3 linked regions of the Kluyveromyces lactis genome follow. The protein of the gene in region 1 purifies or fractionates together with the protein of each later gene. This does not show direct contact. Links are inferred from orthologs where the notes say so. Each region holds a gene or a part of one and is shown in the gene's direction. Other genes may lie near its edges. The genes, in order: RAD23, RPN9 and RPN12.

Evidence for each region.
Region 2: the proteins of RAD23 (region 1) and RPN9 purify together in Saccharomyces cerevisiae (affinity purification with mass spectrometry; 5 studies listed by BioGRID, with this or other methods). This does not show direct contact. The link is inferred for Kluyveromyces lactis from reciprocal best matches to the Saccharomyces cerevisiae genes RAD23 and RPN9.
Region 3: the proteins of RAD23 (region 1) and RPN12 purify together in Saccharomyces cerevisiae (affinity purification with western blotting; 4 studies listed by BioGRID, with this or other methods). This does not show direct contact. The link is inferred for Kluyveromyces lactis from reciprocal best matches to the Saccharomyces cerevisiae genes RAD23 and RPN12.

Annotation. Positions count from the first base shown.
Region 1 is NC_006041.1:1,971,609-1,979,378, reverse strand, and holds RAD23 (Rad23p), read left to right. Parts: upstream 1-3,592; coding exon 3,593-4,744; downstream 4,745-7,770. Other genes in the region: KLLA0_E22199g (uncharacterized protein), read right to left, coding at 1-35; KLLA0_E22177g (uncharacterized protein), read right to left, coding at 602-991; ANP1 (Anp1p), read left to right, coding at 1,665-3,017; putative acireductone synthase UTR4, read right to left, coding at 5,192-5,857; KLLA0_E22089g (uncharacterized protein), read left to right, coding at 6,975-7,770. UniProt on the Saccharomyces cerevisiae protein: Plays a central role both in proteasomal degradation of misfolded proteins and DNA repair.
Region 2 is NC_006038.1:62,799-70,960, forward strand, and holds RPN9 (proteasome regulatory particle lid subunit RPN9), read left to right. Parts: upstream 1-1,485; coding exon 1,486-2,670; downstream 2,671-8,162. Other genes in the region: SNX41 (Snx41p), read left to right, coding at 1-1,184; TIF35 (translation initiation factor eIF3 core subunit g), read right to left, coding at 3,185-3,994; MRPL39 (mitochondrial 54S ribosomal protein bL33m), read left to right, coding at 4,925-5,140; transcription elongation factor SPT5, read right to left, coding at 5,444-8,162. UniProt on the Saccharomyces cerevisiae protein: Acts as a regulatory subunit of the 26S proteasome which is involved in the ATP-dependent degradation of ubiquitinated proteins.
Region 3 is NC_006040.1:972,884-980,508, reverse strand, and holds RPN12 (proteasome regulatory particle lid subunit RPN12), read left to right. Parts: upstream 1-4,505; coding exon 4,506-5,303; downstream 5,304-7,625. Other genes in the region: ZIP2 (Zip2p), read left to right, coding at 160-2,187; RET2 (coatomer subunit delta), read left to right, coding at 2,491-4,101; KLLA0_D11352g (hexokinase), read right to left, coding at 5,681-7,138. UniProt on the Saccharomyces cerevisiae protein: Acts as a regulatory subunit of the 26S proteasome which is involved in the ATP-dependent degradation of ubiquitinated proteins. Necessary for activation of the CDC28 kinase.

The DNA of each region.
Region 1 (7,770 bases):
CCAGCAGTTTCGAAAGTGTGTTCTTCTTCAGCCATGTTGTATATGTGTGATTTGTTTAATGCGTTTGGTCTACTATCTGTAGTGAAAACAAAATACAATTGAAACCAAGTAAAACTGAATAACTAATAACAGGATAAAGTTAAAACAGAAGAGAACAAGAAAAACTAATTAAACAAATGAAGAAGTTTACAAAATCATTCTGAAACATATACAAAATGGACTAAATACACTCTTGTAAATGAAAAAAAGCTTTAAATTCAACTTTCCATGAAGAAAAAAACTCTTATAATTTTGTTTCCAATATATATAAAATCGAATATCAAATTTTTTTTTCTTTCTCGTCGTCGAACTGAAAAAAAAAGTTTGAAAAATTTAGTTTCGATCATTTTGTACAGAGAGAGTGAAAGAGAGAGCGAGAGGGAAAAACACCGATGTATTTCATAGTCGTGTAAAGTTTGTAGAGTGTGAAAACAGAAAGAAAAAGCAATTCGTACGGTAGGTCTTTTTTTTCTACTTTCCCATCGTCTTCTCCCTTGCTATTCTAGTCTGCTATGGGGATTGTATGTTTTCCAAATGGCATATTCTAGTTTTTTAACGGCATTCACTGACAGATCGAAGTCAATAATATAGGCAACGTTGGCACATAATTGTATCGGTTGCGGAACGATTTGTATAATGTACAATTTTGATACGTAGTTGTGTATAATTCATCTTTGATGGCGAAGAGCTGGGTGGATTCGCCAGTCGACAGATCCAAAGAACCTGAGGCCGCATTGAGGGAAACAGGCACGGACCATGATATATCACCGTACACGGTAAGCTCACGGAATCCTCTCGTAAGCAGTAGGAAAAAGGGAAACCCAACGATGCCCGGGTAACATATACATATCACTATACACGTATTTATTTGGTCCTTTGATTGCCGCCTGGCATTCCCAGGCATTGGAATGAGATGAAACATGTCACGTGACTGTACGGGAAGAACAGACATCCGCTATCTTTCCAGCCTTTTTGTTCCGTTATGTTGAATGGCCGTAGTAGAGGTTCTGTTACAGTGCGAAAAGGCGGTAATTGAGCCGGGAAAAAGTAGAGTTGCTTCTTATCTACAACAACTTACGGTCCCCAACAGTGCCCTGAGAGTTGAATCACTGGTTCCCACACCTTATAACTGCGTGTAGGGTCTGGCAGTTCCTTTTTATTTACCTTTTCCAAATTTCAGTTTATACACTTTTTTTTTTTTTTTTTTTTTGGCGAAGAAATTGAAATGGATGAAAACAATGCAACTATACAATCGAAAATAGTAATATTTTATAAGTATTTATTATGGCACAGACCATATTATCTGTTGCAAACGCTAAAGGAAAAAGGTTTGTCATTTAAAGCAGCCGATTATTATTCCAGAAGGTGTCATAATACACAGGGTTAGCACCGCCCAGGATTAGTGAGAAAGGAAGAACACATAAGGATCTTTTGACGAGCGTGCATTTTATAGATCTATTGTGAAAAATTGCGGTATCAAAATTTCTTCGAACAATAAAATACAATCGCTAAAGCTGTGGAGGAATAAAAACATCCGGATCCATCGCTCTTTACTTTTGAAATCACTTCTATTCTCGATTCCTGGAAATTCAAATATTCTACACAACGTCATACAACCGTCATAGATGGGCAGCAAGGGTAAGAGCAGGTTCAATGCCTTGACTGCTGTGTCCGTGATAGGATCAGTGGTAACGGGGTTTCTTATAATTCGAATGATTTTCCCAATCATATGGCAGTTCGTACCGTTCGTCTCAAGTCCTGTAACTGGTAACAGGTTCAGAAATATACCTGGAGTGGAATATTACGATTTAATTAATTATCAGGGGAATGCCAATGGATGGCAGACCGGTGATAGGGTGGTGTTCTGTGTTCCTTTGAGAGATGCAGCCGCACATTTGGATATGTTCTTCGATACCTTGGATAAATTGACATACCCACATAACTTGATTGATCTTTCATTTTTGGTCAGTGATTCAAGCGATGATACCATGAAAACACTTCTTTCTCATTTGAGAAGAGCTCAATCAAACCAAGACAAATCGAGAAGATTCGCTAACATTGAAATTTTTGAGAAAGATTTCGGTCAAAGTGTGGGTCAATCGTTTTCTGATAGACACGGGTTTGCAGCTCAAGGCCCTAGAAGAAAATCCATGGCCAGAGCTAGAAATTGGCTTGGGTCAGCGGCTTTGAAGCCGTATCATTCTTACGTGTACTGGAGAGATGTCGACGTTCAAACTATACCGAATACTATTTTGGAAGATTTAATGCATCATGATAAAGACGTCATTGTTCCAAACGTCTGGAGACCTCTACCCGATTGGTTGGGAAATATACAACCATATGATTTGAACTCATGGGTTGAATCTGAGGGTGGATTACAATTAGCTGATTCTTTGGATGAAGATGCTTGTATCGTAGAAGGGTACCCGGAATACGCTACATGGAGAACACATTTGGCCTACATGAGAGACCCAAGCGGCGATCCCGAGGTCGAGATGGAACTAGACGGAATTGGTGGTGTTTCCATCTTATCTAAAGCTAAGGTCTTTAGAACAGGTTCTCATTTCCCTGCGTTCTCTTTCGAGAAACATGCTGAAACTGAAGCCTTTGGTAAATTATCACGTAGAATGCAATACAGTGTTGTCGGTCTACCTCATTATGTGATCTGGCACATTTACGAACCTTCAAGTGACGATTTGAAACACATGGCCTGGATGGCCGAGGAAGAGAAACGTCGGGTTGAAGAGCAAAAAATTCAAGAGTTCTATGCTAGAATTTGGGATATTGGTTTCGATGACGTGAGAGATGAGTGGGAGCTAGAAAGGTTACAAATTTTGAAGAACATTGATCCGAATGTCCTAGATAGGAAGATTCAAGTGGACTGGTCAGATGATGATGAAGCAGATGATGGTTCAAGGAACGGAGGAAATAATCAAGATTCACATGAAGTACCACTGGACTTTGATCCTGCTCATTAATAATTTTCTGTTTAGGCAGTGAAGAGTAAAGAAGATTATAAAACCCACAAATACATTCTTCACTAACGAGATATTTTTTAAAAAGATATCTTAACCATCTAATTTCAATTCTCATCGCTTCCATCCCCTATTATTATTCAATTATTAGGCAGACTGTAACACGTTGGAGTATCTAGTTGTACAATATGCACCTTAGATCATTATCGAGGTTTTTATCAATAGACTTTTTTTTACATTTACGTTTAAATGCATTATATACTAATATTGTACTTGCAATAATCTGTTCATTTTGTTTACTTCAAACCATATTACTACTGGTAACTATTACAGGCAAGCAAATACTGAAAACACGTTATCAAGCTGCATTAAGCTGTAATTTTCAGCGTATTCCGGAGTTCTGCATCTTGTCAGATACCTTCAGTTTTTTTTTTTGTCAACATCGAAAATGAAAGTTGAGAACAGTGAAAGAAATTGAAATTAATGCCAAATCAACTTGAATCTGATGGCTGGGTGGCAAAGAAGATAAAGTCAAGAAAACAACCGTTGAGACAAAGTCCAAGAAAATCACAAGCATAATGCTTATTAATTTTAAAGATTTCAAAAAGGAAAAACTACCTATTGAATTGGCGGATGATGCCACCATTTCACACGCCAAGGAATTGATCGCTGAACAAAAACAGTGCGATGCATCTCAAATAAAGTTGATCTACGCAGGTAAGATACTCCAGGATCCTAAGACCGTATCAGGATGCAATCTTAAGGAAGGGGATCAGGTTATATTCATGATTAGCAAAACTAAGAAAAAGGCTGATGTTAAGGTAACTGAATCCACAACTGAACCCCAAGATGAATCTCAAGCCACTGCTTCTGCAGAAACTTCTGCAGTTGCAAATGCACCTGCGGAAGCTACAACCACTGGTACAAGAACAGGTACTACTGCAGTTACACAAGAAGAAGGGACGACTGATGCTTCGTTTGTCACTGGTTCTCAACGTAACGAGACTGTGAACAGAATCATGGAAATGGGTTATGATCGTGAACAAGTAGAACGTGCGCTTAGAGCAGCATTCAACAACCCTGACCGTGCAGTGGAGTATTTGCTTATGGGTATTCCTGAAGCCAGTGAGCCATCGCAGCAACAAGCTGAAGCTGTAACTAGTGAAGCTGGGGCGAATGCTAATTCTGAAGTTGCAACAGACGTGCCATCACAATTCACTGAACATGAAGACAATTTATTTGCACAAGCAGAAGCCAATAATGGCGAGCAAGGTCATGAATCCGCTGCTGGTTTAGGTGGAGAAGAAATGGGCACAATCGGATTGACTATGGAGGACATTACACAACTTCGTGACGTTGTATCTGGGCGTCCAGAGGCTTTAATGCCACTTTTCGAGAGTCTAAGCACGCGTTACCCACATCTCCGTGAGACCATGCTGCAAGATCCACAAAGGTTTATCTCTTTGCTATTAGAAGCTGTTGGCGGTTCCCTAACCGATTCTTTGGGTGAAAATCTGGGAGATGACATAGCAGAAGGTGATCTAGGTGATTTCGGGGGACAAACTCAAGGCGCGCCTCCCAATGTTACTATCTCAGCAGAAGATGAAGAAGCTATCAATAGACTTTGCGAGTTGGGTTTTGAGAGGACCTTGGTGGTGCAAATCTACTTCGCATGTGACAAAAACGAAGAAATTGCTGCCAACATGCTATTCAACAATTACGCTGATTGAATGTAGTATGATTTTTCAATAAACCATCGTCTCTTTAGGCATGTAGGGAAAGAAGAATATGTTCAAAATAGAAAACAAAAATAATTATCTCTACCAAATTTGTTTAATAATATGGAATATGCGTACTCATATCTCCAGCATGTAGTGTTTGCCAATCCAAGTATGACCTCTATACCGTCAGATTTTCCTACTACAGCGAAGGCATCCCACATATTCATCTTCCAATTTTTGCACACATACGCACTCATAATGAGCAGTTATACTTAACCAACCTTAGTCAATCTGCAACAGACGGAGCGTGGTATGTTCGATCTCTTACTTCCAACTTCAAGTAGGATTTGTGTTACAATCAATCAGATATCCCCTTCATTAATTTTTTTAAATTTATTCATCATTACACTATATCCTTAGTCCCAATTCAGAGAACCAGTGTACCTTAGACATGTCTTATATAGATGAGAAGTTATTAAGCGCTTTATATTTTTCTGCATTAGATACCGGGTTGTTTCCAGGCCTCAATGCCAAGATGGTGCTGATGCCTACATCCAAAGCTGCGTCTAACTCCTTGTCATTGTCGCTAATAAACACAACATCACTTGCTGATGATGGAGGCACTCCAATGCTTTTGAGAATATTGGTGTAAGATTGAGGTTCAGTTTTCTTACCGGACGTGTTAATGTCGAAGTAGCCAGCAATGGATTTCGTTAAATCGATGTCCCCTTCTACGTGTTGGAACAAGAGTATTTGCGCCTTTACTGACCCTGAGGAGTATATGTAAACATTAGGAGCATGTCTCTGAATGAAATCAATTGCATCTGGATACACTGGCGCCTTGATCTCACCACTCTTGTAACCCTGCTCCCAAATATACCCTTGTAATTGCTTCAACACGGAATCCTTGATGTCGTTATTAACTAGCGATTCAATATGTTCATGCAAAGAAGAAGCATCTTGTGGGACAGGAAATTGGGCAAGTAAGTTCTGCAAAGTAGGGTCATTAGTCTTGACAAGAGATTCCACCTGTTTCAAGAAAAAAGGGTATAGCGTGTCTTTAACAAATGAGATAGGGCAAACCGTACCTTCAATGTCCAAGATATATTTCAATTGACTCATTGTCACTTAATTGAAATCTCAGTTTTCCAGTAAACGCAAATAACTGTGCCTTAAAGCTCTTTTTTCTAATGACTGTGATTAATTCCAAGCTCCTATTCACTAGGCGTACCGAACCAACATGGTCGTGAAGAACATCAGATTGGAATAGGTTTACAAAATATTCAGTTTTACAGTTTGCGAGATGAGATGCGGAAATCAGTCTTGCGAGAATGGAATGAAGCATAGGCAATGTTGGACAACGGCTACACCTTCCTAAAAAGGAAAAGAATGCAGCTTAGCTTAACTTGAAGGTTTCCCAAAGAGGATACTGGAGACGGCGCAAAAATTAAATAACTGAAAATATGCCACAAACCACGTGATCACGACGGAACGTTCCACACACGAACCCAGACATCACAATGCGCAGTATTTTCCTGCTTATCTATCGTAGCAAAACCGCGTTAGACAATCCTTTCGAGTGGATTGAATTTGGTAATCTAAGATTAAGGGTATCCATTTTGACAGGTTTCTCGGTAGGCCGATCTACAGTTGTCAAATGAAATGGCACTACTTCTATGTAGTTACATTATCTTGGGGCAAAATGTATAACGTGATTATTCTAAGATGGGAATAGGCTAGCGATCGTAAGGCTGAATTCTGTTTATTTACTTTATGTTGTTCTTAACGATTGAAAGACTGTATCTTTAGATCTTGTTCAGTTCGTAGTTGAACTGATGCGGAGGGGAGATACAACTAAGCTTCCTGCTGTTAGTATGGTCAGACGGTTTTTCGCTTTGTAGGGGTACATCGTAAACAATTCATTTTGTTAGAGTCGCTTGTGAGAGGATATTATTATGCATTATGCGTAGATACCTCGATTGCAATACAGATATCATTGGATAATCTAAACAAGGTAGCTCCTGCCGGTTGCTTACTTTAAGTTCCATTATGAGGGAATAGGATGATTCGAAGCAAGTATTAGTCTTGAAATTTATTTATAAAGGGCGTCTGTCAGAAGGATGGTTCTACTTATTCGTTGTTTGTTAACTCACATATTTCTCTATTACATCTTTGCATCCACTCAGCAAACAAAAACTCAAACCTCAAACAAGTTTTATTATAATACAAAGATATACTCATGACTGTCGAAAACGAAAATAACTCTTACGTCTTCCAAGGATACATCACTAAAAAGTTACCTCATGTCAAACGCGGTGAAGGATGCAGAATTGTCGTTGAAAAAGATGGCAAGTTACATGAAGATGTCTTCGATGGCATCACTGGTGCTGCTGTCGGGGCATTGGGATGGGGTGATGAGGATATCCATGGGATCATGACAGAAGCAGCCAAGAATCACACTTACACTTTCCCATCTTTAATCGGTAATTCACAATCTGAAGAATTGGCTAAGTTCTACATTGAAAACTCTCCAAAGGGCGCCTTTGAATCCGCTTTGTGGTGTTGCTCTGGTTCTGAAGCTAACGAAAATGCTATGAAAATCATTAGACAATACCAATTGGAGCGTGGCCAACCAAAAAGAACTAAGATCATCTCTAGAGAATCTTCTTACCATGGCTTCACTTTGGGTGCCTTGTCCATCTCTTCTAATCCAAGAGCCGAACAGTTCAAGGAAATCTTGATGGACCAAAAAGAATTATGCCTAAAGATGCCTGTATGCTACCCATACAGATTCATGAAGAAAGGTGAAACCGAAGAAGAATATTGTGCCAGATTGATTCATAGCCTGGAACAATTGATCTTAGACAACGACCCAGAGACTATCTCTGTGGTTCTCGTTGAGACATTGCCAGGTTCCTCCTTAGGTACTACTCCACCACCAAAGGGATATCTATCAGGTATCCGCCGTATCTGTAATAAGTACGACGTTGTGTTCATGCTCGATGAAGTCATGTGTGGTACTGGTAGAAGCAACC
Region 2 (8,162 bases), on another chromosome or scaffold:
TCAAAATTATAGAAAGAAGACAGAGGCTATTATCAAGGTTTTTAAATAACTGCCATAAAGTGAGAGAGATAAGGAATCATATCGTGTTTCAAAAATTCTTGAATCCAGAATATTTCTGGAAGGAAGTTTTAAATACCCCACCGATCTCAATCCTACCAATGAATAATCTTTTAGCGCCTCCATTAAATCCCACGAAACCAAGCCCCATACATTTATTATTGCCAACACCTACGGTGCTGACAATGCGTAAGCATGAACAATTGATAGGCCGGAACGATGTGATGGAGATCAAGTTCGCGGATTACGATTCAGATCTCATCAGGTACAAGGCGATCCTACAACCTTTGAACAAGACCGTTAGAAGTATAAGGTCGAATATTCAAACTTATTCGGCTGTTTTATCTGAACTCGGCGCGTATTTCAACGCGTTCAGTCTAGAGAATAGCGTGTTTCAAGTGAGTGCATTATTTGAACAAATGAATCGTCTATCGATGGGAATAGAGAAGACAGGTCAAGCAATCGATGTGAATTATGTTAGTGCAGAGATATTTAGTGAAGCAATCATGATCAGTCTAGAAGAGGGAAGCAAAGAAATGCTTCAGTTCATTCATGAAGCACAAAGAGTTCTTCACTTCAGAAATTTCAAGCAAGAACAATTTTACACAATTGAAACTACGATAAAGAAGAGGAAAGATAGAATCCGTGAATTGAAAGAGGCAGACCTACAAGCTGTACGATTGGGCGAGGCATTGAAATTAAATGCAGAGGAATCACCCACCGTTGCTCAAGTTATGGACTCCATGACGCGTAAGTCAGCAAACAAGAATCACACGGACAAACAGATAATGGGGCTTTTCAGGTCATCAGCATCTCCAAACAACAAGTCTGGATCTGATTCGATTTCAAGTGAAGTCGAACCTCATCTTCTAACTAAAGACGAACGGGTTGTACAGGTAAACAAACTAGAAAAGGAACTTGAAAAACTGAATGAATGTTTCAAACTCATCGAAAAGGACTTACAACAAGTCAATGAGTCAATGGATAACTCTTTGAATAACTTAGAGAAATATTTCCATGAGAAGTGGTTCCTCATTTTCCGCGAACTAGCCCACAATATAACATCATGGTTAAAGGATTGTTCAGAGTCTTGGAAAAATGCCAAACAGTCTATAGATAGCATATAAAAGGTTTATATCTCAAAAAGAAAGGCATGAAGTATTGCATTGAACTACATTATTTGATGATGAAAGTGCAGATGGAGATGATTTGCTGTCACATATCTAGTTCATCCACTTCTCACAGCATTTGTTTGGAGAATTGTCATTATTAACGACTTTCATGCTTCGATTGACGTTTTGTAAATATGAAATATATAGATCGATACACCTTCTGAAATGTAAGGTGGCGAACAGAATATTAAAGATTATAGATTAAGGCATACATCGCACGACTAACAGCACTTCAGCAAGCTTAAATAGTCAAAATATGACACACGAAATTGACACCATATTATCTACATTGAAGCAGGAAGTCAATAGTGAATTGGCCCCATTATTCGACGATTTTGAAGACTTGTATGAGAGGAAGCTATGGCATCAGTTAACTGAGAAGCTAGCGATTTTTTTCCATGATAGCAAATCAGAATCGTTCAGACTTCGCCTTTATACCCAATTTGTCAGTAAGTTCATTGACAAGATAAACCAATTGAATGTTGTTGAGTTTTTGTTGCAAGCATTACAAGAAAACGATGACACAGAAGAATCATTACAATATCTAAAGGATCTTCAAAAGGAATTCAAAGAAATTGATGAAAAGAAGCAAAGAAACGATGGTTTAAAACCTCATGTAAATGGGAACTTGTTGTTAGATATTGAGATTGCTCGTGTGAAATTGGAAAAGGGGGACCTAGTTGAGGTCAGAGACATCCTAGACGCTATTGGGAAAACACTTGATGTTCAAGATTCGGTACCTCTCAGAGTTACCGGTGCCTACTACTCGTGTAACGCTTCCTATTACCAAGTAAAGAAAGACTTCAACAATTTCTATTATACCAGTCTTTTATATCTCTCAACAATCACTTCGGAAGAACAACAGCAGCGATTGACACAACTCGAACAACAACAATTGGCATACAATTTGTGCATTGCAGCATTGTTAGGTGACAATATCTATAATTTCGGTGAACTACTTCAGCATCCAATTATTTCAAGTATTTCAAACGATAAAGAATACGAATGGTTATTCAGATTCTTGAACGCATTAACTGAAGGGGATTTCCAAAAGTTTGATCAAATTTCAAAAGAAAGAATTCCCAAGGTACCAATCTTAGCTCAACATGAGTCATTCTTGAGACAAAAGATTTGTTTGATGACTCTAGTAGAAAGCGTGTTTGCAAAGTCTATCAGAACGTTGTCTTTCCGCGATATTGCAGATGCCACATTTTTACCTATCGACAGTGTTGAACATTTAGTAATGAGAAGTATCAGCTTAGGATTGTTGAAGGGATCAATAGATCAAGTCCAACAATTGGTTACAATTACGTGGGTTCAGCCTAGGATCATCAACCAAGAGCAAATTAAAAAAATGAAAGATAACTTGATAAAATGGCAAGATGAAGTGTCGAAATTGGGTAATAAGATTGAAGGAAGGGGTAAAAGTATTTGGGTATAATGCTTAAGTATCGTCACATATTATATACTACGTACATCCGCTTAATATCTATGAAAAACGAAATCCACCAACATGTTTCATTGATCGGTTTGAATTTCTGAAAGAGTTAGACGATATATCTTGGAGTTTGTAATATACAGGTAGATACGTAACACACATAGTACTCGAATGTAGTAATTATACACATATGCTATTGTATCGTTCGAGAGCAAAATGGGTCAAAGAATGTCATATAATATAACCGTATGATGCTGAGTGATATGCTCATTTGTTCAACCAGGAAGTAAGATTATTAGGATACACATACGTCACGCTACGCAGAGATATCCCATGTTATGAAAGGAATGGGATAAATTGTAGGGAACAAATAAGCTGTAAGATAAGATGCAACAACTTTGAAGGTAGAAGTAAAGAGACCTTGGTATTGAAATAATGGGTTTAGAACTTAGTTTTGAAGTAGTTTTTCTCTTCAAAAAATACTATATCAGTTTGATCAGCGAGTTCTTACAGTTTATCATTCTTCTTTCTTTGGTTTTGGCTTAGACCATTCTGCGTGTAACATGAAATTCATGAAACCTCTGCCTTCCAATAATTTCAAAGCTTGAGCAGCAATTTCTTCAGTTTGGAAAGTAACGTAAGCAACACCACGGGATCTACCAGTTTCTGGGTTCTTGACGACGAATACTCTAGGAATCTCACCGAATGGGAAGAGTAATTCTCTTTTAAGCACTTCTTCATCTGCAAGTTCGTTAACCTGGGTCAATCTAATAGTCTTTGCATCATCACGTTCTCTTTGGTCTTGGTAAGCATTAGAAGATGGATCACGAGCACCAGCACGTAGGGATGGTGGCACGTATCTGCCAGAGCCAGAGCCTCCTTGAGCGCTCATATCTCCACCACCGATAGCCGGGTCTAAACCAGCAGATGTAGTAGGTTTCTTTCCCAAAGTGTCTTTGTACGGACAATGCATGGTGAAATGCGCACCACCACAAATTCTACAAGTAATTACCTTTTGAGTCGAGTTAGCAGCCTTCTCCTTTGCCTTTTCTTCTTCCATTTCCTTCCAGTTAGGAGACAAGTCTAACTCTAATTCTTCACCTAATTGAGTGGTTGAAATATCTGGTCCTGGGGCAGCTCCCTTATCAGCACCATATTTCTTCCAATTTCTTCTCAAGGCGATGTTCTTGTTAACTTTCTCGGTGACAGTAATTTCCTTAACCTTCTGCGTAACCTTGTACTTCTTACCATCTTGGATTTTGAAACTGATGACGGTTTTGGAACCATCGTCATTCTCGATGATTCTTGGTTCAGGAATAGCTGACATGTTGTGAATCTTTGTATTATCTCCTTAAAAAAATAGGATTGTAGAAAAAATTCCTTTAATTTCTAGACGCGTGTTATACTATCAACAATTAAGAAGCCCAATTCTGATTTGAGGTATGTCAAATATCCTCCTTTCAAGTTATGGGTCTGTAGATAATCTGATCGATATCAATTAATTCTCTTTGAAGAAAAAAACTTCGCACAGATGATAGTCTCAAATTTTTGTTTCAGTTCTTTATTGAAACACGTAAATCGGATACACTTGGCGCAGTATACTCCTTTCTTCTATCAAACAGCTGGATGAAACCCTATGCACCTTCTAGGGTCACCTTACCATTACGTTTATTTTAGCAGGTAACTTAGAACTCATTTGAATTTCCATTTTTTTCTCTTCTCTTTCGCTGATTTTGCCTCTGTCTCTATGCGATGAGCTTTGGAAAATTTTCAAAATTTTCATCAGTAATGTATATCGTGTTGCACGGGTGTAACAGAGATCCGTAAGCTCCAGCACTAATTAGTTACCTTAATTATACCGTACTGTGTACACCAATCAATTCAGTTAATACCTTCTTGTTGATAAAAGCGTAGAGTAACTATATGCGAATACTTAACTTGACTTGTGAATATGTATCTGTTTCACGTGATATGAAGTACGGATCATTTTTATGTATATTGCATATTCATCAAAACGTATGTAGTGATTTGACAAAATTTTGATTATCCATTACTTCTTCTTTAGCAATGTATCCGACCCAATCAATACTGAAAGTAGTGGGAGTTCATCAATTTCTGCATAGGACGGTGTATCATCGGAAAGTATTAAGGGCAGAAAGTAATATTATCCTGCGTACTTCTCTGTCTCAAATTCAAATTCAAGGAATTTCACAGAGCTAAGGATATCATATATAAACTGCAAACGAACAGGAAAACGATGGCCAAGGCTAAGACAAAGACTACAGTTATCAAACTGATATCAACTGCTATGACAGGTGTGAGCCGTCATGTCACGATAAATAGAGCTGCACCATTAGTGACGCAGGTGAGGTACGACCCTGTAGCTAAACGTCATGTTTTGTTCAAAGAGGCCAAGAAAAGAAAGGTTGCAGAGAGGAAACCATTGGACTTCTTACGTACCGCAAGACGTTAATGAATTGTATTTAACAATTTAACCACACCATTTGCATGTATATAGAAAACACTCACACTGCAATAACTACCGTTGAAATAGACGTGATTTAAGAGTTCTATAGTAGTATCGGTTTGTAGTAAAGAAACGAAATTTTTAACTAAATTACATTTACTTAATTCACTTATTTAATTGGTTTCTGAGACTAATTTGGGCAAGACTATATATACAACATCCACATCGCGTGGAGTAATTTGGAGATAATAAGATGAACAATTGATAGGTTTGTAAATTATCGTGAGGCAATAACTTGTATGATTATTTCTAATTATTTCCACCCCACGTACTTCCACCACCTCTAGCATCCTGATTACCCCAAGCAGATCTATTGCCGCTATTGTTGTGTTGGGATGCATTGCCCCATGCGGATCTCTCTCCTGAGTTATGCTGCGATTGATTGTTACCCCAAGTGGAACTTCCACCGGTGTTTTTAGATCGTTGTGATTTATTACCACTGCCACCCCAGGCAGAGACACCTCCCTGGTTACCACCCCAGGTAGAAGTACCTCCATAGCTTGATTTATTGCCACCGCCCCAGGCAGAAGCTGCTCCTGATTCTCCGCTTGCTGCCCAAGAAGAGGCGCCTCCATAACTAGATTTATTACCCCAAGTGGACGCACCACCCCAAGTTGATGTAGCACCTTGCCCACCCCAGGTGGAAGTGTTTCCAGCAGCTCCACCCCAGGCAGAAGCACCACCAGGGCCTTGTCCGCCCCATGTCGAAGCACCACCCCAGGATGAAGTTCCTCCGTTCTGGCCAACCGCAGGAGTTTTACCGCCATCAAATGCATTCCAACCAGGAGTCATTCCACCAGGAAGTTGTTGCGGAGTGTTCGTTGCCACCGCACCACCGGCAGCCATGTGTCTTGGTGCACTGACATAGCTTGGGCCCAATCTGGTATGTGGAGTTCTACCACGTCTACTAACAAGTTCATCGTATGTTATACCTTCACCACCTTCATGACTGAAGTAAGTAAGTTTTCTTTTGTCTATTGTAATATGCTTATTTTTGGAGTGCAATTCAATAGTAGCCTTATCTCCATTGACGTCTTTGACAATACCCAACTGCCCCTTGTATCCCGCAGAACGTATCCTAACAGTTTTGTTCAAAGCGACGTCACGGCCAACTAACCGCGTCTGCTGAGTAGTTTGTGGTGGTCCCATCTTAGACGCAATATTTGGATTTATTTTAGATAAATCCAATGCTGACGACATCAAGTTTTCTTTTGAGGCGACAGCCTCGACATTCATTGGATTAACAACGAAAACACCGGCATTTTCCGTTATTGTTTTCGATCTAATGAAAATATGTTGGTTTTGAACGTAGAGTACTTGTCCCTCTCTACGGGAACCGATCTTTTCTCTTACTACATCGCCAATTTTTATTTCTCTACCATTACCATCGACAGCAGCTACTTTCGCTCTTGCTACATTGATCTTGGCAAGAATTGAGCCTTTAGTAACAGTAGCCACTTTACCGGAGTCGTCAATAATCTTGAAAATATCATGTCCAGCCTGGATCACACATGCCACGTTTTTGGCACTTAACTCAACAATGTCATGTAGAGCGTACTCGCTTGATGTCGGAGTAGAATCCATAGATTTACTCAAGTTATTCGCAGAGATTGTCAAATTTTCTCTAGTTTGGTCAGAAACAAATGTGACTTGACCGTTCTGCACCAAAAGAACCAAACCAGCGTTACCTTCATGTTCACCAGCTATTACTGTGACATGGTCACCAAGTTCGAAAATTTTTCTTAGAGATGCAATTGGGAACTCTAATGATTTATCTGAAAAGCCCGATAGTTTAACGCTGATGACGTCTTTAGAACTTCTAGTCACCACACCTCTAGATCCACGTTGTTCCCCGGTCAACACTTCAACACGGTCACCTGGTTGAAACATAGCTTTAGAAGCTTGAGCTTTTTTCATAGTTTGAGCAATAGCTGCTAGATCGACATCACCTTCTTTACTGCCGAACCTTGATAATTCTTCCACCGTAGGTTGGATATTCTTTGTATCAAGATACTGAATCTTAAAAGATTTGAAAAGATAACCGTCAACATAATCTTCCTTCCTGTAAGTGAAGTGCCTGTCATCTCTTTTGAATAAGTTGGCTTGGTCTAACCTTAATGCCATAGTAGGGTTAAATAATTGAGGAGGAGGCCTACTAGCAAACGTTGCTCTCTTTGCCTTTCTCTGATTTGTATCTGGGTCGATTTCGTCATTTTTACCGTAGTCTAATCTGGGTACAATCTTTAATAGAGCTTCTAAGTTGTTCTGACTAATTTGATCAATGACTGCCAAATCATTCTTATAAATACCCCTTTTAATTCTAACATAAGAACCAACATCAAGTCTCACTTCATCTGACTTGGTAGGCTTTAATAGTAAAGGTAGTTCTTGCACGGGAATCAAAAGCTTTTGATTAGAATAGACATCTGGAACACCGTTGACAAATTTTTCGATAACAGATTGTTTTGGAGCTTCGATATAGATTCTTCCTGTGTAATTGTCTCTTTGGAAGATGGACAGAATCTTTAATTTTTTAGAGCCCATAGATTTATCCAAGTTAAACTTCTTATTTAGCAACTTTCTCACTAGTTCTTTCTCCTTCCCTGGTCTACAACGAACGGACCAAATAATAGCAGTATCAACACTTGGTAACATAAACCTCTGAGGTACATACCCACCTTGAGTTTGTACACGGTAATCTTTGGAAGAGTCACGACCATAACGTTTCTTGAAGTCTTCAGCGATCTTGTGCATGTCTTCATCCGCAGTTTTTTGAAGATTTTGATCTAATTCTCTATGCAGTCTGTCATCAACTCTACCACCACGATCCTCTTCGTCTTCTTCGTCACCGCGAGTAATGAAACCTTCACGAACTAGTTCTGAATCTTCTTCATCTTCTTCGTCGTCTTCGTCTTCACTGACTTCGGCTTCAATATCCAAGAATCTGTTTCTTTCACGACGTTGCTTC
Region 3 (7,625 bases), on another chromosome or scaffold:
TTTCTAAACATTATCTACTGATATATAAACTTGTAATATTAAAGAACGTTTTCAGAACTGTCAAAACTTACAAGGTTCTCAACCCTGCAACTTGAGCGCGGAAAGCATTTCATCTGTTTCAGACTCTCGAAAGTTAAACAGTTATACTGCACTCCTAATATGGTTTCAGCTATGTGGGACACTTCAGCGTTAAAGTTGAGAAACATATTCGAAGAAGAGTTCGGCGGTTATTTAGAGAAGAGACTAAGAGAAAGCATACAATTGAATAGGCCGACAAAGAGGTACTTGAAATTGGCTACTCGGAGTGATATTGATTTAAAGTTTCACAAAGTCGGCAAGAAGGAATCAAATGGATCATCTTTGGTGAAATATATCATTGAATTCGATACCACTGCAATTTTAGTCAAAGGATACATCCGGCCCTGGAATAATCCGGAATGGAAATGCAAGGCACCATATAACAGCAATCAGAATGTAGATACAAGATCACTATACAAAGAAAAGATTATAGTTAGAGATAATGTGAAAGATTTGTTCAGTGCTGCCTTAACAAAGTTGGACCTTTCTGTTAGGTTGAATAAATTCGATCAAAATGTACATGCTAAATATCGGTTAAATGAGGACTTTTTACAACCGCTAGGGAGAACACTTAGACACTCTTGTGAATTTCCAGTAATGCATAGCAGGTTGGTACAACGAGAATCGGAACTTTATGAAGAGTTTTTATCTTATGATCTTCCGAAGCGCCAGATGACAACAATGGACATACAGTTTAAAACAGTAAAGGTACAATCTTTTCAGCAGTACAAAATCCAGTACATCCAAACTTTAACGAGGGAAAAAACGAGTCAAGAATACACTTCGTCGGCCAGATTACCGCATTGGCAGTCGAATCAAATTCAGAATAGCAGTATCAAGTTTTTAAAGCTTTGTTGTGAAGATGAGGATTTTCATCCACTGGAGTTATACAAGCTTGAGAACCCCAAAGCTGATCAGTTCCAGAGGAAAGCAGTTTACAGGAGTAAGCCTATTAAGCCAAAATGGAGGATAAGTGACGAAATTATCAAAAGACTAAATTGGAATCCATTCAAAGAGTTAAACTTGCCAAAAAACTCGGAACTACTTGAATCATTAAGAGATGTACAAGTTAGATGTACGTCCTATGCGCTTGTCTTCAAAAGAATTCCAAGTTCCAAAATTGATTTGATGGTATCCAAAATTCCCGTTAGCTTCAGGAGTGTAAATGCTATCAGTTATGATCAGTTCGATCCAAAATCTAAAGAGAATGTCCAAGAGTCTAGTCAGTGTATTGATTCTCTTGCAAATGAGGAAACTACTGACGTCGATGAAGTGACAAACAAAAGGATAATGACAAGTGGGAAACGCTCTTTCATAAACGCAGATTTAGTAAGCATAATAGCAGCCAAACGGTCCAAATTGAAGAGACTCTCCATATCTAATGGTGATGTTAACCCAGTTGCTACTCTGAACGAGACAGTTGAGCAATCTACAATGTCCAATGTCACTTTCCAATTAAGCGATAAAAGTTTCCATAATGCTGAAGAGAAAGTAATCATTTTTAATGCAGAGTATATTGCCAAAAACTACAAGTTGATCAATTTCTTACATCAGAACAACTTTTGTGTGCTTGAGATGGATTTGGGGGATCATTCGGATATCTTGTTAGACGCATCTACCTGTCTCATTCTTCGAAATATTACTTCAGTGTATCAGAAACAGGTCGACAGCTTCCCGTTACTCCGAGCAATACAAGAATTGAAGTGTAAATATAAAAGAGTGGTAATCTTCTTATCGTACTCAGAACGATCGTTAGCGTTAGATTCCAACTTAGCTTACAAGACCCAACTTTTATTAAACTGTCTCGGTGGGACAACAACTCATCTAGTTGAGGAAACACAACTCAAATTAACAGCAACGTGGATTTCATTATATTGTGGTACCAATACGCCCAATGAACAGCAAATTTATCGCATGAGCCTTAGCAAAGAGGTCTTACAACATTTCGACATCAATCCAATCGCAATTGAAAGTATTCTGTCACTCACCTCATTAGAAGAATTCTTATCAATAAGTTATGGAAAAAGAGCCCTACTATATGGCAAATTTCTCACAGAATACCAACTAGCTCATATTGATGATTTTGTGACAATGAGTTGGTCAGAGTAAATTCATTCTCATACGTCGGCTCGAATGAACCTTACCCATCCAAGCTAAACTCACGATCTATTTCAACCAGTCATATTGAACGAACTCTTCTAGTATTGGTTTCCTGATTTTGATGAACCTTTTTTTTCCCTTCGAAAATGGAACTGAACCAAAACATATCAAAATAGAAAACTTGAAAATAGTTAAAAATGTACGAACCTGGCAAAGCTGTATCATTCCGAAAGCATAATAGTCTCGTTAAAGTTTTGATTCAGGCACCAGGAAACCTGTGACGTGATACATTGAGAACAGGGCTTGATAATCATGGTTGTACTAGCGGTTTCTATCACTACTCGTAAGGGTAAGCCTTTATTGTCTAGACAATTCAGAGATATCACGAAAGATCGTGTTATGGAATTGTTGTCGAATTTCCAGACTTTAGTTGCCAATTCCTCAAAGCAGCACACTTTTGTTGAAGATGAACATGTCAGATATGTTTACAAGCCATTTGATGATTACTATATTATTTTGATTACGAATCTTCATTCCAATATAATCCAGGATATGGACACGTTGAACATTTTTGTGCAAACGGTTGATTCTACTCTGAAGGGTCTAAGTGAGGAAGATGTTTTCGATAGTGCGTTCGATATCTTGAACTCATTCGATGAAATCATTACTATGGGCTACAAGGAGAATCTATCTTTAACTCAGATTAAGACCTTCTTAGCAATGGAATCTCATGAGGAAAGAATACAGGAAATTATTGAACGTAATAAGGAATTCGAAGCAGCGGAAGAAAGAAAGCGTAGGGCAAAAGAGATTTCGAGAAAGGAACAAGCAAGAAAATTGGGTATTCCGGACACTCAGGAATTCACCGGTATCCATGGTGGTGTTATGAACAAGGCGTATGACAGTTACTACAGCCATGCTTCATCCGCGGCTCAACAGTCACACATGCACACGCAATCTAATCAAGGTATTCAACAACAGAATTTAGCACCACAGCAACAACAGCAACAGCAGTATGCAAACCGTGAGCCTTTGGGTGGTAAAGGTTTGCAAGTCAATGGGCCAAGAAGAGGCGTTGAAAGACCGATCAAGAACGTGGAAAGACAATCATTATCAGTTCAAACAGCAACTCTGCCTGAAGAAGAAAAGCCTATCAACAATGGTATTTTAATTAGCGTAAAAGAAACTATTAACGCTGAAATTTCCCGTGATGGTGCTATCATGGGCTCAGAGTTAAAGGGTGTGTTAGAATTACGTGTTAATAACCCTGATCTTGCACATGCCAAACTATGTCTCGGTACAGACGTCAATGTCAAGGACAAAACGTATCAATTCAAAACCCATCCAAATGTGGACAAGGCTGGTTTCTTAACTAACAAAACGATCGGGCTAAGAGATCCTAACAAACCATTCCCATCCAATGATCAAAGTTTGGGTGTGCTAAGATGGCGTAAGGTTAAGGGTGCTGATGAACATGATTTGATCCCATTAGAAATTTCAACATGGTTGTCTCCATCTTCAGAAACGGATAATGCCATTGATGTTACTTTTGAATATGAAGTCAACAGTGATTACGAAGGAACTATCGATGAATTACGCTTCTTGATTCCTGTCTTCACCGATACTGTATTCATCAAAGATGATCTAAACGAGGCTAATGCAATCGTAGAGGCCATTGACGAGTCCCAAGGTATTATCATTAAGGTGGACCCAATTGAATCCGGTCAGTCAAGCGTATTCAGTGTTACTGTCCAAGCTGCTTATGAAGATGCGTTATTCCCTATCGAAGTTGCTTTAAAGAACAGCAATGCCAAACCATTGTCTAACCTAAATATTGCTTCTGTTGTATCTGCCGCAGATGACACTGAACTACCATTCGACACCGTATCTACCTTGAAGAGTGAACAATATGTCGTAGTGTAATTGCACTTTGCAGTATTAAACAGCAGCATGTGTCTCTAGCAGAAAATACTGCTACTATATAAGTAATCCTATACATGTTTGTGTATTTTTAAGAAGTAATGTACAGTGAACTCCACCAAAAGTAATAAAAAAAGCCGAAAACTGAAGAAAAAATGGTAATCTGATCCGTATGCAATTGATTAGATATGGCCTGTTAATACCTATTGCAATACGATCGGCGCATCTTGTGTCCTATCTTACCCATTGCCTGCTTTCATTTGTTCAAAGTTCCTATAAATCTACTACTATGTAATGAGAAATTCAAGATTCAGTGAAATTGAAAATATCAACATTAACTTAACTCAGACCTTGCATGAATATGTTTTGCCACCGAAATAAAGGGACAGAGATAGACAGCAACCAAGATGCCATCGTTACCAGAGCTAACCAAGGGGTTGAAGACTGCCTTTGAGGGCAAACAATATGAAACATGTTTGAGATTACTACTTCCTATCAAGATTGAATTGATTAAAGCAAAATTGTTAATACCTGATATCAAAAGCGCTAAGGAAAATCAAAGCTATCTACAGGATCTGAATATAGCAAAGAAGATACTTGAGATAGGAGCACTTTCAAGCATATACTGTGAGGATTTTGAAACTTTCATGAACTATTACTCACAGTTAAGCGCATTCTACTTTTCTGATGTGAAAGAATTGAGTGATTCAGATAGCAAGTTCAAGTTGATAAGTTTGTACTTATTAATCTTGCTAGCACAAAACGATTACACTAAACTTCACTCAGAATTTGAGTTTTTGAGCAGATACGTTACGAATTTGGAAGAGAGTTCGTACCTCTCTTATCCAGTAAAGTTGGAAAGACTTTTGATGGAAGGTTCTTATCAAAAGGCTTGGGATCTGTTACAAACAGGTTCTAAGGTTGAAGAGTTCAATGTTTTCACAAAGACTTTGAAAGAGGCTATAAGAGAGGAAATTGCTTTGAATTCTGAACAAGCATATAGCTCCTTACCATTGTTCAACGCTAAGACTCTACTATTCTTCGAGAATGAAAAGGAGATGGAGGCGTTCGCTAAAGAACGTGACTGGAGCGTCAACCATGGCGTTATCACATTTGGAAATGATTCAACTCCAGACAGGATAGAGAGTGGGGATACCGTGGATATGGCTATTGACTATGCTGTTCATTTAGAAAGTATTGTATAGGTAATATCATAAAAATATACACTTCAAGCTTGAATAGTTTTAAAATAACTAGTGCCATATTATCCAAACTGGACATAAGCATAACTAATATTATTAAGATTTAAATTTGAAATATATTCATATTTGTACATTAACACATAAGTTAGTTTACATTTGCGAAGAACAATCTGTTCCGGCCTACATATATAGAAAAATGATGTTTATATGTCTCTATGTCGATGTTGGAAAGCCAGAATGGTCAAAGCTTGTTAACTAATGATATCATGAATTGGATTGATCTAATAACTTCATAACAGAGAAAAAAAATATAATAGCAAATCTTTAGATTAATTCCTCATAATGGATTGTATGAGGGAAATCATCCTCTATCTTCTATTCTATTCGCCTTTAATACCAACAGACTTACCGGCAGCCAATCTCTTTTGAGTCAAACAAGCAATGATAGCAGCACCAACACCGGAACCATCTTCAGCAGCCACCAATTGGATTGGGTGGTCTTCCATCTTTTCGACATCCCAGTTGTAGATATCCTTCAAGGCTTGAGCGGCCTTTTCCTTGTAACCTGGGTATCTGTTGAAGACAGAACCATCAGCTGCAATGTGAGCAGTCTTGTAGCCTCTCTTGTCACAGATAGCAGAAACACCACAAACAGTCAATCTTGCAGCTCTTGTTCCGACCAATTCGGCTAATTTTCTAATCAACTTTCTCTCAACAACGGTAGTTTCGATGTTCAAGTTAGTCTTGAACAGATCGTCAGTGTCTTCCAAGTTTTCGAATGGATCATCTTCGATCTTAGATGGATAACTGGTGTCCATGACGTAAGCCTCTTTCAACTTGGAGATATCTTGGTCCTTAAAGATGAAACCACTGTCGTACAAGTCCAATAGTACTAGACGCATGATTTCACCTAGATAGTAACCAGAAGTCATCTTTTCGAAAGCTTGTTGACCTGGTCTTGGAGATTCTTCATCGATTATAACATCGTATTTGGTTCTTGGCAACACCAAATGTTCGTTATCGAAGGAACCATATTCACAGTTGATTGCCATTGGAGAATCTGGACCGATATCTTCTGGCAACAAACCTTCCAATTTCTCAATACCAGAAACAACATCGTAGTAAGCACCGTTGACACCAGTACCGATAATGATACCCATCTTAGTTTGAGGATCAGTGTACAAAGAGGCAACCAAGGTACCAGTGGTATCGTTGATCAATGCAACGACATTGATTGGGATATTCAGCTTTTCAATCTGTTCTTGTAGCATTGGAACAACATCGTGACCTTCAACACCTTCAATATCGAAACCCTTGGTCCAACGTTGCAACACACCGGAATTGATCTTCTTTTGAGATGCAGGGTATGAGAAAGTGAAACCCAATGGCAATGGTTCAGAAACACCATCTGGGTACCATTCATCGACGAATTCCTTCAAACACTTTGCAATAAATGACCACAATTGTTCAGAAGTACCAGTTCTCAAATGGTCTGGTAATCTGTACTTGTTTTGAGTGGTGTCGAAATCATGATTACCACCCAATTTAACCAACACAACTCTCAAGTTGGTACCACCCAAATCAAGAGCTAAGAAATCACCAGTTTCCTTACCAGTTGGATACTCAACAACCCAACCTGGAATCATAGGAATGTTACCACCCTTTTTGGACAAACCTTTGTCCAATTCACTGATGAAATGCTTGACAATGCTTCTCATTTTTTCTGAAGAGACGGTGAACAAAGTTTCCAAACCGTGGATTTGTTCCATCAAATTAGCTGGCACATCTGCCATGGACCCCTTTCTGGCTGGAGGCTTCTTTGGACCTAAACGAACCATTCTTGATATTTATGTAATGTAATCTAAAAGTTTAGCTTTTGCGTTAGCTCTAATACTCTTCTTATGATGCTATAACTAGTAGTATTTCTAGTAAAATAGCAATTAATCACAGCAGTAGTAGTAGTAGTAGTAAGTAGTAATGAGACTTGTATACTTTAAAACTTGGGGCTGTCTGTAATTAAGAAATGATGGTATAACAATTCACAGTGGACAAAACCTACAACTGAAAAGGAAAGAACTCTACGATAGAACAACATATTTATATATTTATATACGCAAATGATCCAGAAACTGCCACTCGCAACGTCAAGTCGGAACCAAATAGTGGTTTGCGCTTTACATTCCAAGGTCAAATTCATCTGAATTCCTGCCTGCCTCCACATTCAAATGGGATCCGTCTATATGAAGTTTTTCGTTTCTAAGGAACTTTGTGGAAGAGGAAACTTTGTGGAAGCTGAACTGAAAAAAAAAAGTTGTTGTTGAAATT